Linked DNA regions of Tamandua tetradactyla. The protein of the gene in region 2 purifies or fractionates together with the protein of the main gene of each other region. This does not show direct contact. Links are inferred from orthologs where the notes say so. Each region holds a gene or a part of one and is shown on either strand. Other genes may lie near its edges.

The links.
Region 1: the proteins of DDX17 (region 2) and DROSHA purify together in Homo sapiens (co-immunoprecipitation; 3 studies listed by IntAct, with this or other methods). This does not show direct contact. The link is inferred for Tamandua tetradactyla from reciprocal best matches to the Homo sapiens genes DDX17 and DROSHA.

Annotation. Positions count from the first base shown.
Region 1 is NC_135335.1:81,077,091-81,084,675, reverse strand, and holds the start of DROSHA (ribonuclease 3), read left to right. Parts: upstream 1-4,579; 5' UTR 4,580-4,744; intron 4,745-5,794; exon of another isoform or gene 5,795-5,920; intron 5,921-6,784; 5' UTR 6,785-6,831; coding exon 6,832-6,851; intron 6,852-7,585. Other genes in the region: C9H5orf22 (UPF0489 protein C5orf22 homolog), read right to left, coding at 837-986, 2,903-3,048, 4,266-4,346. UniProt on the Homo sapiens protein: Ribonuclease III double-stranded (ds) RNA-specific endoribonuclease that is involved in the initial step of microRNA (miRNA) biogenesis.
Region 2 is NC_135333.1:30,849,980-30,857,563, forward strand, and holds the start of DDX17 (putative ATP-dependent RNA helicase DDX17), read right to left. Parts: upstream 3,003-7,584; 5' UTR 2,760-3,002; coding exon 2,710-2,759; intron 1-2,709. UniProt on the Homo sapiens protein: As an RNA helicase, unwinds RNA and alters RNA structures through ATP binding and hydrolysis.

The DNA.
Region 1 (7,585 bases), on a different chromosome or scaffold from region 2:
CTCTGAGCCCCAATTATTTCTTTATTTTGGTATCATATCCTAAATAAAAACAATTTTCACATATACACAACAAAGTTATATCATTTAGGATAAATTAGAAATAAAAAGTATCATTTTCAGTGGGAGAGATTATATTTTATTGTCAGTGTATTATTATTTCAACCCACTATCCTTCAGGTACCAGGAAAGTTTTAGTTGAACTACTTAAAGTATCTCATCACAACAGAATTTAGAGAGTTAAGAACATTCTGATTATATCTAAAGGTAATACAGTGCCACAAGATATATAAACACTGGCCAAACAGTTAATACTACAAAAACAGTTGCATATGAAATACGTGAGAGAATGATGAACTTTCATTTTAGTTAATTATCTAAGGCTAATCCTTTAATAAATTAAAATCCTGAATTTATTTATTCACCATTAGATTTATTAAAAAAAAAAACTAAGGGAGATAATTTTGCTTTTTCATTGCTAATAGTTAAATTCGGCAGACAGCAGTTATACCTGAGGAAACAGTAAAATGTACCACTGAATATATAATATCTATAAGGCATCTTTATATTTTAATGGAGTTAATGCATCAGTGGAGCCAGAATTTCAGAGGATTAAGATCATAGTCAAAAACTTAACTTGACCAGCAACAAAATATAAATGGTGTATAAAGGAGGTTAAGACTTGAAAACTTGTTTCTGGTGCTTTGAAAACTCTTTTTGGAGGAACTGAACTTTAATATGATCCATTTGCATATAAAGGTACTTAGAAAATTATTACAGGAATCCAAAGTAAGACAGAAATTCAATCTCTTTCTTACTCATAAAAATGAGGAAGGTACCTGATTGTTGTGGTAGAAATGTCTTTGCCTACTAAGAAGTGATGTTTGCCCTCTCTGATCTGCTGAGCCCACATGGGATGCAGCCAAACAACATGAGAAAAATGGCCAGCATAAACTGCAGGCATAATCCAGTTCTCGATACTTAATTCTCTAAAAAGGAAATAGAGGAGAAATATTAAAATAAGCAATGAGCATTTTTTCCCCCAAATATAATTTCATCCACAACAATATTTTAAGACAAGTCTCAAAGTTTGGTAAAGGACCCCTAGTGGGGGTGGAGGGAGAGGGAGAAGTATCTCTGAAACTCTTCAGGGTGTTCACTAGGTCAAAATTATTTGCAAAATAATACTAAGATATTATTTGCCTTTTCCACTGTATTATATTTGCAGGGATGGTACAAAAGCAGTGTGGATTGAGGACTTAAGATTAATCAAGGGAGTGACATCAAACTCTACTGGTGGTCACTGTATTCTTCACTACCCAGCAAAACAAACCAGTCTCAAGAAAAGGCACTTTGTGTGACTGAATTGTGAGCTGAGCACCATTTTTTCTTGAAAGGACTCACTAACAAACTACAGTTATTCAGACTTCAGTCTGAATTGTTGGATTCTACATTCCATCTAACCTTTAAGAAACCACTTGTCAAAGTTTAGTGCAGTTCAAAGAATAACATCCACAATGATCTGAAATGCCATGAAAATATCCTTTTCTTTACCAATTACATATGTGTGAGAGGCTGAATTTTCTTCATATACTTCAACTAAAACACATATGGCAACAGACTGAACGCAGAGGCAGATGTAAGAATCCAGGTATCTTCTGAAAAAGCAGCTACTAAAGAGATCTGCAAAATGCAAACAATGCTACTCTTCTCACTAAAATTTCTTTGCTTTGAAATATTAATTTCTTTTTCATAAAATAACAATTATAATACACAGTTGGCTTATTGTTATTTTGAAATGAATCAATAAATATTTTTAAAGTTTCTGATTTAATTGCAAATACAGTAAATGTTGGCAGATATAAGCCACTTTAAAAAAGCTCAATAATTTTTAATAGTGTAAAGGAGTCTTGAGACTGAAAAGTTTAAGAACCATTATTTTAAGACTATACAGTTCTGCAATGTCTGTCTCATATTTCCTCAATTTATAAAATAAAAAACCTAGAAATATAAAAGAAAGTAATGACAATGGTAGAGCCACACAATGCTTTAGAAATTAAGTGTCCAAACTGGGGTTCTGGAAAAACTTAACTGAAAGAAATAGGATAAAATTACTTCACATAAGTATCTATATTTAATTTTATAACACAGCAAAATTACTGCTTTGTAACATTTTATACTATATGAACAGGCTATACTCTAATAATTATATGTCTGAAGAGACAGTGAGAATATTTTGGAGAACTTTATTATAGAGGAGAGGCTAGTAATTATTCAAACATATATTTATTCTACCTGAAGAATGGAGCACAAAGTATCAAGTTTACTTTCAGTTGAATGATTCTATATAACCCTAAAAGTCAACAGGATTTTGACCAAAAATTAAACTAATTGGGATGTAGAAAGGACTGAATACTGGCTAGAAAGATAGGCAAATTAGAGTTGTGTTGCCTACACAATTATTGAACTGTGTGGTTTAGATAAGACATTCTTTCTGTGCCTCAGAATCCAGACTTTTAAAGGGGTAAGAAAGGGAGAACTGGTTCAGATAATTTCTAAAAAACCTCTTCTACTTCTAAAATTCTATATTCTAAATCTGGGGTTGGCAAATTTTGGTTGGGTCCCCTGTAGTTATTCATTTATATAATGTTTCTGTCTGCTTTCATACAAGGGCAGAAATAAGTAGCTGCAAGAGACTGTACGGACAGCAAGGATAAAATATTTACTCTTTGGCTTTTACCTCAAGGTTTGTTGACTCCTGTTCTAAATAAAATTAGAAAGGCAAAAAGGCAAATGAAACAAAAACAAAGCCTATGAGCTTAGTAAAGCCCATCTTCCTTAATTGCTTATCATCTACTGCAAATTGTGTTTCAAGTGCATAAAATATTATTAACAAACATATTACCCAAAGAGTGTTTCCTTGTCAAACACAGTGTCTGCTGGCATATTCACAGGAATAAGGAGGTCTGGATGTGAATCAAAATGCACAAAACTTATATTACTGGCAGGAAGATGCTTTGAACCAATGGCCCGGTATATAAAAGGCAGAACCTGTAAAAGATGCACTCAGAATTGGCACTGAAATCATAAGCACACAATCAAAGGAAGACAGAAAAACAAAACAAACTGCATATACTTTGAAGCACACCAAGTTGCTAATAAAAAAAAGTAAAAAATCTGTTTACCATAGATGATCCAGATACTATCTCAAACCTTATTTTTACCCTCAGAACTTCTAGCTTACACTTTCAAATGGGCAGCTCCAGCTACCATCCTGCCACCACTGCAAACTCAACAGGTAATGTAGGGAAACAAAGCTGAGCTCAGGTACAAACTGCGGGTTTACGTGGGCTCTGGCTTTCACTGTGTGCCCCTGGTAGCCAGGGTCTCCGTGCATTTTTCCCACACCTATGGGATGGTGGGGTTGGACTCGGGCGTAAGGCTCTTTCTCCTTTTACATTTGCTCTAGTTCTAGGTTTAATATTGAATTTGAAAGTACTGCCTAACAACCCGTGCTTCCCCCTTTTCTCAGTCCCGAAAAACCTAATTTCCTTCCTTCAGTATATCCGGAATCGTCCTTTTCCTATTTCATGTCCAGAGAACCTCCGAGGCCTATTAATGCTACGTTTTGAAAACTTCCGAGAGCTATGGGCCACCCTGATAGGTTTCCAGATGCCTACTTTTAGGTACCATTTAAATTCTAATGCAGCACTGCCTTAAAATAGATAACAGTAACAATTTAAAAAGGTTAACAACATCTTTACTATATATGTATTCTGGGCACGTGTTAAAGGATTTATGTGCACGGTATGCACACAATTTCTAAAGGCCCTATGACCGCACGATAATCGTTCCCATTTCACAGATGAGGACCATTATGTGAACAGGGCTTAGAGCAGCACACCCCCAAAATAAATGTTAGATGAGGACTCACGTTCTCAGCATTGCGCCTCCCCTTAAACAGCAGGGCTGTGTGAGTGTGCAGGTTGGGGACACCCGGTTCGGCACACAAACTATGCCCGGGTTCGAATCCGGGAGCCACCAGTTGCTGGTTAAGGGGTTTTGTGCAAACTGTAAGGATTAAACAAGCTGCCCGACGCACAGGAAGCCCATAAACGCCAGTTCCTATTTCCTCAAGTTGCAGCTTTAGTATTTTCCCCACAACAACAGAACTCTGGGAGGTAAACGCCGGTCCTCTGGCCTCCGAGGCCAAGGCTCCGCGGTCTGCCTGGCCTTCGCGCGCCAGTGCCCGGCAGTTGCCCGCTCACCTCTTGATGATCCTCCACCACCCACACCGGGAGCTCGGGGTAGCGCCGCAGACAGGCGCGCTCCCCCGCAGGGCCACTCATGCTTTCGCGGCCGTCAGCCTTCCACAGGCACCGAGACGCCGGCGAGGACACAGAAACCCGAGCTGCGGCCACCGCCACCCTCCCCGGAGGTAGCGCGCGCTCACCCGGTTGCGGTTCCGGATTGGAGGACGGAGAGGTAGGGCGCAGGCGCCGGAGGGCTCCACGGGAGTGATTGGCTGAGATGTCCGTCGCTCCTGAGGACACGCCAATCACCGCGCGCAGGCCGCTGCGGCGAGCCCAAGCGTTTTTCCCTCTCTTGTCTCAGCTTTCGCAGGGTTGCTTTTTAATTCCCTCGGTTTCCTGTTCCGGAGGCGCGGGCGGCGCCACCGCCTTGGCGGCTGCAATATAAGCTTTACTTTTCTCAGTCGGAGCCTTTGCTGCCGGAGAGCCTTTTGTAGGTAAAACGGGTTCGTTGCGGGTGTTGGGAGAGGGTATCTGTTTGAGTGTTCAGATTCAAACGGGGCTGGGGAAGAAGGGGGTTGGGGTCGGGCAGCCTCTCTTCAGACTTGCAGCTAAGGACAAAAAAGCAACCCTAGGCCCAGCTTCCACAAATAAATAGAAGCGAAAAATGAACCTTTCATTCATTTGTGGAGTGCTTGCTGTGGGCCAGGCCCGGTCTCGGAGGGGAGCGAGGCAGTGAGCCCAGCTTTCCTCGTGGGGCTCGCAGTCTGGCGGGAGATGCGAACAGGTTTTTTTTTTTTTTTACGCAGTTACGGAGCCGCGGGATGAAGGTGCCCGGCCTGCGGGCTCAGCTGGGGGAAAGAGGGGATTCTTAAAAACGCAGCAACACCTTGCAGCTCTTTTTTACATAGAGTGACGTTCTTGGGCGTATTAACTATTCACAACATCTCCCTTAATTTCCCTGCATCCAAATAGTAATCTAGGAGTAGGCTGATGCAGAGAGGAATAACTTTTCCAGTTGCATCGAATTCCTTGACTTTTGGGCTCAAGTTTCCATCTGCAGCTCAGTCTGAGTATGCCTTTAAGGTCGGTTTCATGATTAGTGTTTTCAGGTTTTGTACCTAGAAACATAATGTTGAGTGACTTCGATTGCTACCCGCGGTATAAAGTGAGGTGATGATTTTGACTTTGGCCCACCACTAGATTAAGCACACTCCTTTGTGCTCCCTTAGGCTCTGTGTGCACCTCTTTTCTTGTAAATATCTCATTATATTGTATTCTTAAAAAACTTACTTGTTTGGGTTCTGTGCTCCTTCAGCTCTGCAGGATGTGTGTCTTCCTCATCTTTGAATCCCCAAGGTTCGGGTTAGTGCTTTTGATGTACAGGCTCATCTTGTGTTGCATGAATCAGTGAAGAGGCCTGCTTTCTGTTGGGTTTGATAATGCGAATCTGTTGAGGGTATATGTGGAAGCAAAATGTGGAGCAACATAGAGACGTATATCGTTGGTGAGACAGTAAACATTTATTGACCGCCTACTGTATACAGGATGCTCTGCCTGGGGGCTGTGAAGGATACAGAGATGACTGAATCAACCCATGTCATCAAGGAGCTAAAAATCTAGTGGAGGAGTTAGACATGTGCAAACATGACTATAATATGAGGCAGTCTCTGGTAAGTGCTGTAAATGAAGTAAGTACAGGTTAAGAGCAATGCAAGTTTAGAGGGAAAGGGATTGCTTCCTAAGGGGAATCAGGAAAGGCTTCATGGAGGAGGTGGCATTGAGATAGGTGAATGGGTAGGAATTCATTGGGTGGAGATATAGGATGGGGGATTTTAGAGAAGAGGGGAATTAAAAAACCAGCTGAGTGATTGTACTTGGTATGTTAGGCACCTAGGGAAATGTAGAGAATGTTATAGAGGATAAGCCTAGAAGGAGACTTGGGTCCAGTTTGTAGAGGGCTTTAAATAAAAGCATGGAGGTTGAACTTGATTCTGTAGGTGATGAGTAAACTGTGGTGGCATGGTCAGCTGTCTAGACCCCAGGTTTATCATAAGAGTATCAGACTGAATCATACCACTAATCAGATATTATTTGGTACGTACTACTTATTAAGCATGGTGATAGACACACCTAAATAATCTGAAATTATTTTCATGAGTCATGTGAAAGTCTACATTAACCCTATCAGTTAAAAACTTTTCACTAGCCAGACTTTAGGAAGCTGTCTCTACATTAAAGCTTTTTGTACTTAATGTTTACTTGAGTTTTTTAAAAAAGCACTTCACTGAATTTCATGTATTTGGAAGGCTATTCATGTTCACAGTAGTGTTCTGTAGGAAGAGTTGAGAATGAAAATCTAAGAATAATAGTTTTGTTTGTCATGAGTTTTAATTCAGTTTCATCTGCACTTATTTTGTCGGTGTGCTAAGTGCATTGGGGAATACAAAATCAGTGTTAAGATAATTGCAGGGCATATTTTAAAATGTGTACAGTTTGGAAAACATTTTAATGTATATTTTTTATGTCCTTTAAAGCTGATATTCTCTGTGGAAGAAGATGTGATATATCCAGATAGTACATCATGATGCAAGGCAATACATGGTGAGTGGTGGGATCGTAATGGCAGAAGCTTAGGAGAATGCAGAGAGGAGCAAACACTGTGTTGGGCCATAGAAGATAGGAAGGATTCAAATGTGTGGGTAGGAGGGAGATGTGTTCATTTTTTCAGCAGTGGGCCATGATGGACTTGCAGTTCTGAGGAGCAGACAGACATTAAAGGTGGAATTATGTAATTAGCCAGTAGATTATATTATTGTGGGAACTATGAAGAAATAACATAGTGTTGTGAGATCAGGGAACCTAGAGAAGTCCTGGGGGGGCGGTGATAGTGGTTGCGGAAGGCCAGTAAGGATGTTATTATAAGCCAGACAAGAGATGACATTATGAAGTGGATGAATTCAAGAAGTGTTTAGGAAGGGGAAATGACAGGAAATTATTAACAATTAGCCAAGGGGGGAGAGGGAGGAAAAGTTGTCAAATGATTGCCTGGTGTTAAAACTTGAGGACCTGGGTGAAATACCAAAAAAGGAGCAAAGATCGTTGTCTTGAACAGGCAATTCATTACTTCCTTTTAGGATGTATTAGGTTGAATTTGAAGAATCAGACATTCAGGGAGAGAGGTTGGATTGAAAACTGGCAATGTGGGTCTGGAGCTCAGAAGTTGGTGACTAGTGATATAACTTTGGGAGTTACTCCTAAATGATGCTAATCGGAAAAACACAGGTGGGTAGGGAAGAGTGAGCAGAATGCCCAGGCTGGAGCCCTGAGGAATTCAA
Region 2 (7,584 bases):
AATCAACCCTCCCCTCTTTACTTGTAAAGGGTGCTGCTAGCGCAATACTATTCATGAAATAAAAAGCCAAGTCTTTAGACTGTTAGTGTCTTGAAGAAAATCACAAAAACCAAAGACCAGTTTTTAGAGATTCCATCCGTCTACTTCACATAAATTTGTGGATCCCAGAAATGCCATTTTCAGGACGATTTTCCAGCGCAAAATTATACTGAAAAGTTCCTCTTTTAAAGTTTATTCTAAGCAGCCTTTTATTTAAAAATATAAAAAACAAATCCCTTCTTCCAGTCATCCTGGCTATTTACCTAAAACGTACTATTCTACACTCAAGATTTAACTTGAATGATGAGGTTCTTAAAATATATGCTGCCTACCACGTTTGTAATTAACACTGACCTCAAACCTCAGAGCCCTCTACTTAATTCCTGAGCATACGCGATGCAAATCCCCAAGTTTTTTGCATAAAGCTGTTCATTAAATCATTTTACTGATTCAGTATTAACAGTTCAACTTGGCTTTGCAACAAATACAGCTTTGAGGATTCTGTATGGACTTGGAAAATTATGCTAGTTTAAGTGTACAATGTATATCATCTTTGGACTGTTTATGTACATACAGGGCTGGCAGCCATTTCCTTTAAAGGTAACAATCCATTTCAACTATGTAATATTCAGTTAAGAATGAAACAAATTATAAAGAAAATTTTATGGTGAAGATGGATTTAGGAGTTAAGCCTTATTTAATACGTGCCATTCTGTTTAAATGAACAACTTTTAAAGTTTTTTAAAAACTGTTATCTTATACACAAGGAATATGGGGTAAACTAAGTATGGATTAGTAATTCATTCCCCCTTCCCTTTTCAGATAACTCCTCATTCAAAACATATATAAAGTAAGCAAACATGGGGCAGGCCACGGTGGCTCAGCAGGTAAGAATGCTTGCCTGCCAAGCCCGAGGACCTGGGTTCAATTCCCAGTGCCTGCCCATGTAAAAAAAAAAAAAAAGTAAACAAACACTTAACCAAACACCTACGGTAAGAAGATCACCACCATTATTTTCATAGCCTCTCAAGTGTCTGTTTCAAGTTTACAATTACCACCATTACTACTATGTTGCATTTTATTATAAAATAGTTTGCTTTTTAGTTTTACCACACCTGTTTCAATCCCTAAATTTGTCCTTCTACCATGATCTGAATTTTAGAAAAACTCAATATGTTTGGGAGTCACCCACGCTGATTCAAGTTCATTCATTTTTGTTGCTGTACTGCATTTTATTATATGAATACCCACAATGTATCCTGACTTTCGGGTTGTTTTCAATCTTCTGCCATCATGAATAATGCTGCTATAAACATTTTTTTACATATATCCTGGGGGCACGTGTGCAAGTTTCTCTAGTCCCTAGAGTCTAGGGCATAAAGAGAGGAAATTGCTGGGCCATTTTCACGGGTATTATATATTGTGAAATTCTTTTTCCTAAAGTTGGCTGTATTGGAATTCGCTTCTCAACTTAGCTATACGAAGACAACAAAAGCAAACATTCCACATTTCTAGCCTCTATGTTTAATACTGAGACTGAGATCAAGTATTTTTCCAACAACGTAGAAGTCCAAAAAGTAAATTTTTATATTGTAAATTAAAAGTGTTAATTGAGGGTTTGTGGCTAGTAAGTGGTGCTTCTTTATCATTTATCTTACCACGAAAGACAAGTAATTATTACACCCATCATCAGATGAGAAAATGAGCTCACAAAGGTTGAGGATCCTGCCCAAGGTCACATTATATTACGAAATGGCATCACACTGCTCTTTATCCAGAGATACACTTCTATAAGTAAGCACTTTTTTTTAGCCGACATTAAGGCCTGTGATCTCTGCATGTAAGAAGAGTTCAGGTTTAATCCCGCATTAGCTTCCAACCTAGTAACCCCGGGATTCCCACATTAAAACTTTCTAGGTTGTTCGAGAAGCTAGTGCTGCAGTCTGAGAAAACAGACCGAGGAGAACAGAAGATGCCAACTTTACAATAAAAACCAGAAAAGAAAAAAACAAAACCCCCTTTCTTCGTAAACACAGCAACTTTGAGTAATTCCACTGCTTTTAGTATCTCCGTGTGCTTCCTCCGACTTGAAAAAATAAAGGCGATTTAGTATTTTTTAGTACTTTGTTTCCAGTTCCGCTAAATTATCTCCGGCGATAGAGAACACGAGAAAAGCCATTTGCGCGTTAAGATTTTCCCAAGCTTAACTCGGAGGTATCATCCTCTTCTCTCAACAAAGAGCTTATGTGTTTTACAGATGAACGCTGAGGCCTGGAGAGACCAAATGACTTGCCCTAATCGGCCTGGCACTAAAAGACAGAGAGGCTCAGGACGAATATGCGGCGGCCGGGCCTTCCCCCTCCTGCCTGCAACCCACCCGGTCCCGGCCTTTCCGCTCCCCCCGGGCTGGGCCGCGCCACGACGACCGTCCGTAAGGAGTGGCTGGAGCGTCGCCAAGCAGCCGCTCCTCCTGCCAGGTCACGAGTGACCCCAGGGCCGAGACCCAGGCCCGCACACTGAACCGGTATTATCGCCCCGGGTCTCCTCGCCTCCGGGCTCGGGAAGGATCCCCTCAAATCCCCTGTTAGGGCAGAGGTTTCCGTCTCGTCAAGTACCACCTCCCCCCAACCCCCCGCAGACGCAAGGTCTTTCTTCTCCTCCCTCCCTTACCCTCCGCGGTCACGATCCCGGTCCCGGTCCCCAAAGCCGCCTCCGCGCATGGTCCCAAATGGATAGAGATCTGGGAGCGGGGCACGGATGGCCGGGCTCGGGAGGGCCTGCGGCTCCGGCCTGGTGACGACCGATGGCGGCGGCGCCTCCGCTGTTGGGGCGGCGGCAGGCGCGGCGCTTTCTCGCTCCGACGCGCTATCTCCCGTCGCAGACGCCACCGTCGCCGCCTCTCTCGTCGGAGACGGGAGCAAAACACAGAGAATCGGGGATATAAAAACGGTGGGTAGGTTTGGCTACGCTCAAACCCGGCTTCGCCGCGGTTTAGGCGTCTCCTTCCTTCCCAGCGGCTGCACAAAATGGCGGCCGCCGCTGAGACTGCTCCAGCTCAACGCTACGTACGTCAGAGACGATACGTAAACAGCGTCTTAGAATCACCCGAGGGATCGCGGGGTAATAGGGCTATTCTTGAAAGAGGTTTACGTCGATTGCGGAGATGGACACGTTTTACGGAACACGGAAGAAAAATAAAGTACGGAGCGAGCGTAGAGTTCTCGCGCCACCTGAACTAGAACGTGGGGTGGGGGGATGGGAGGGGGACGCGCCTCTGTTGCGACGAAGCATTCTTTGAGGCGTTAGTCGGCCCACTATTGCGAAGATGCGTACTATGCGTAAAGCATTCTGTTTAAAGAATAGAGGGTTTTGTTGGATTCCAGTAGCGGCACGCAACCTGAAGGCTGCTTGTGCTAGTTGCTTTATAGATAAAATAGCTTCCATGTTGCAGTCGTCAATTTTCAGGGTCTCCAAGTGTCAAAAGCTCAAGAAGATCTTAAGGGTCCTCGGTTGGCGTTTCTGGTGCCTCTGTCGACCCCTCACCCCAGTGCTCGGCCTTGTCGAGACTGACCGCGCGCCCTGGCGCCATTTCCTTTCAGTTGCTGCTCGCTGCGCTTGTGCCGGCGGCCATGATGGATGCGCCGCGTCCCGTTCCTTACGGAGTGGGACCCGCGGTGACTTGTCGGCCGTGATAAAACGCTCTTTGTTATGTTTGATTCACACAAATGCATTTCCTGAGCAAATTTTTGCACCATCCCCGGCAGAACACAATTGTGCTAACGCAGCGGTAAAATGTGGGTGAGGCATCTCTTCAGGTTGATGCGGGGGTCCCTTGGCCGCCATTAAAGGCGGTGCTCCAAGAGACCCTTGGCATTCTCTGGTAATGAACATGTTTAAACCGGTGGTCTTAAGACACAGAAGGGGGATGGGAAGCATAAGTACAAGTTTTGAACTAGGTAGGCCATATTCTTTCCGTTTCTTCTAAGCTGACTTCCCATTCCTACTTCCTGATAGCTGGAAAATATGCTTACCCTAGCTGAGTTTAGCAATCTCCTCTTTGTACTTTAGTTCCAGAAGGACATTAACCAGACATTGGAAGTTCTTTTTACAGGAATAAAATAACAATAACATCAAGAACACCCTCTGGCCCAGTGAATCAATGACTTCCTCCTCAAAAGACAAAAGTTTGAAAAGAATCCTGAAGACCCTGAATGTAGGAGCTTGGACGTTATATATCTAAAGCTAATCTCTGAAGTTGGAATAAGATGTGCTTGAGACAAAACAGAATTAAGAAATTGCTGGTACTGTCCTCACAAAGATCCAGTGTCATCCCTGACTTGACAAGAAGAAGTTGTGGACGTAACGTGGGTTTTGATCCATTTGTCCTACCCTTTACCTTTAAAAACCCTACCTCACACCCCCACTTTGAACTGGTTTGGGGACGATTCCTCCAGTTCCTTGCAAAGTGCACATGCAATAAATCTCCTTCACGCTGAGACACTTTCTCCTTTGTAGAGCTAAGTCAGGTGGGCCCTTCTATTGGAAAGAGCCATGCTTGCAGTATCAATTCCTTTCCCCTGAAACTGCAGTAAGGTCTCGAGAATTTGGCCACATAGCATCATAGAATTGTCAAGCTGTTAAGGCCTTTTGGAGATCAACTAATTTAATATCTCTTTTTTTTTTTTCCCTATGGATGGGCTCAAAGGATGCGGCAGATATGAAGCCCCTTAGTGTGGTGGCTGAGTGGGGTCTCCTATCATGTTTTCTGAGTGCTTCCCAAATTGTTAGAAAAGTGGCATAGGGAAGAGAGTTTTGTGATAGGCCATCCCAGGTATTACTTGAGCCATAGACAGCAGTGGACACTCAACCATGTATTACTTTGGACAAGTGCTGAATGCCTACCATGGGCACTGGGGCACGGTAGGGCACACACAGAATTTGTATGCTAGTGGGGAACATAGAAGATGAATGTTTATGCGAGGTAGACTCCAACTGAAGTAAAATAAAAAGAAAGGAAAAATAAAATCAGGGAAAAGGGATATACAGTGTGGGGTGGGGTAACGTGGTTAGGTAGTGTGTCCTGGGAAAGTCTCCCTAATAAAGTGACATGTGAGCAGAGAGCTGAAGGGAGGGAGCTAGTCCTGCCAGCGTAAGAGGGAGAAGCACAGGCAAAAGTCCTGTGGTAGGGCTAGTGTAACAGGAGTAGCATGAGGAGGAGAGGTAAGAGGCAAAGCCAGATCATGAAAGGCTTGTAAAGGTCACAGTAAGAACCTTTTCTTTTCCTCTGAGTAGAAAGACATGGAAGGTTTTGAATATATCCACATGATAAAAGGACTCCTGTAACTACAAGGTGAGGAATAAATTGAGGATGGTCCAGGACAAAAGCAGGCATATTACCTAGAAGGCTACTGTAGGAATCCAGGGAAGAGATGATGGGACTTGGTACAGATTAAGAGCAATGAGTTGGGAAGAACTGGTCTGATGGTGAAGGTCAGCCAATGATTTAGGGGTGGGTAGGATGTAAAAGAAGGAAGAGTCAAGGATGAAACAAATATTAAGCCCCATCTGTGATTTAGATGATAGGGTAGGCACTCAATGGTGTTTGGAATGATTTGCGCATTTATCACATATGCTAAGTAAGCTTGAGGCTCTTTAGTCAACAAATAGTATATAAAGAAAATGCAATCTTCCCTACATTTTACCAGGGGGAGCAATTCGTATTTTGCTACTAGATCAGGTCCTTTGACTTCCTAAAGTTTATCACAATATGTAATGATATATTTTTGTCATTATTTGATTAATTCAACACCACACACACACACACACACACACACACACACACACACACACACGTATGCTAAAAGATTAAAGGAAGTCTTCCTCTGGCAGCCAAGTTTCTGATCCCAAAGTGAATCTATAGAATGCATTTCTCTTTCATGATATGAGTATCTACCAAATATGATTGAAGTTTATTATGTTGTTACTAAGCATAGAAAAAGATTTTCATTAGGTAGGTCAGAAAACCTAGAAATTTCGGTAGCAGCCAAGTCTTCTGGTATAAAGCAAAAATATTCTTTGCTTAATTCATTTTTTTTTAACTAAGAGCTGACAATTATTGAATGCTTATGCTCACTAAGTGATATGAGCTTTTATTTTATCTTCGTTATTTTATTTTATCCCCAGCTGTAAAATGAGATAGTACCTCAAAGAGATGTTGGGAGGAGCAAATGAAATAATACCAGTTATGCCTGGTACATAATAAACATTCCACAGATGTTAGCTGTCATCATCTCCCCACTTTACAGAAGAGAAAGTTGTGGCTCAGAAAGGGTCAGACAGTTAGCAAATGACATAACTGGGAAACACCACTAGGTTTTAGGTTCAACATACTTAACTATAATACATATTATTTCCTTGTGGGATCACAAGATCAATTTCATTCTCTTTTAAGTTGTCAAGTTTTTCTGCGGATGTGATTTGCCTTCCACAGATTCCACCTGCCAGCAATACAATTGCCATTTTTCTCATTTTTATCTGCTTTATTGTGATTACAGCAACAAAATTTATACTTCAGACAATTTTCAACTACTAAGAAAATTATTTTAAAGCCCATACCATGAACCAACTATTCTAAGTTTTTACTGACATTCTCTTATATAACTTTCACAGTTCTTCAACTTTATAGCCATTAGACTCACCTAAATGTGAAATATAGTGCTACTGGTTTTTGTCTAGGTAGGACCCAGGTTCTTTGATACTTGGTTCAGGAACTTTAGATAGAATACTGAAGTATTCAATAAGTGCTTTAGTTTCCTGGCTGCTAGATTAAATACCTTAAGAACAGGACATTTTTTTGCTTTCTGAGGCTAGAGACCTTGCTTCCTCCCAGGGCCTTTCCCTGACTTCTGGCTGGCCGGCAATCTTTAGAGTTCCTTGGCTTTTCCATCATGTGGCAAAGCACCTGGCAGCATCTCATCCTTTTTCTTACTGGAACTGTTAACTTCCAGCTTCTGGTAAATCCCCACAGTTGTCTCTGTGCCCAATTTCTTTTGCTTATAAGGACTTTAACCATACTGGATTAAGGCCTACTCTCATTCAATTTGTCCATCTTAACTAATAACATCTTCAAAGGTCCTGTTTAGAAATGAGTTCACACGCACTCACAGGACCAGGGGTTAGCACTTAATTATGCCTTTTGTGGGAGACATGATTCAGTCCCCAACAACTAGGTAGCCTAAAGCAGATGCCTTCAAACTGTGGTATATAAGAAACATATAGAAAAGAGTTTTCAGGAAGTCTACTTTGAGAATTTTAACTTTTGTATATATTCTTTCATAAAATTGATATAAATGAAAAATTTGTTCACAATTGTTCTCTCCCACTTTACACAAGAAAAGAATACTTCTATCCAGAATATTACTTTGGACTTTGCCACGATGGAAAAGTCTCTGAGGTGCCAAAAACAAGGAAAATTAGAAACACTGGCATTGACTTTGAAAAGGTGAATGATTCTAACTACTAGGTAGCACAGTCTTTTGCAAATTA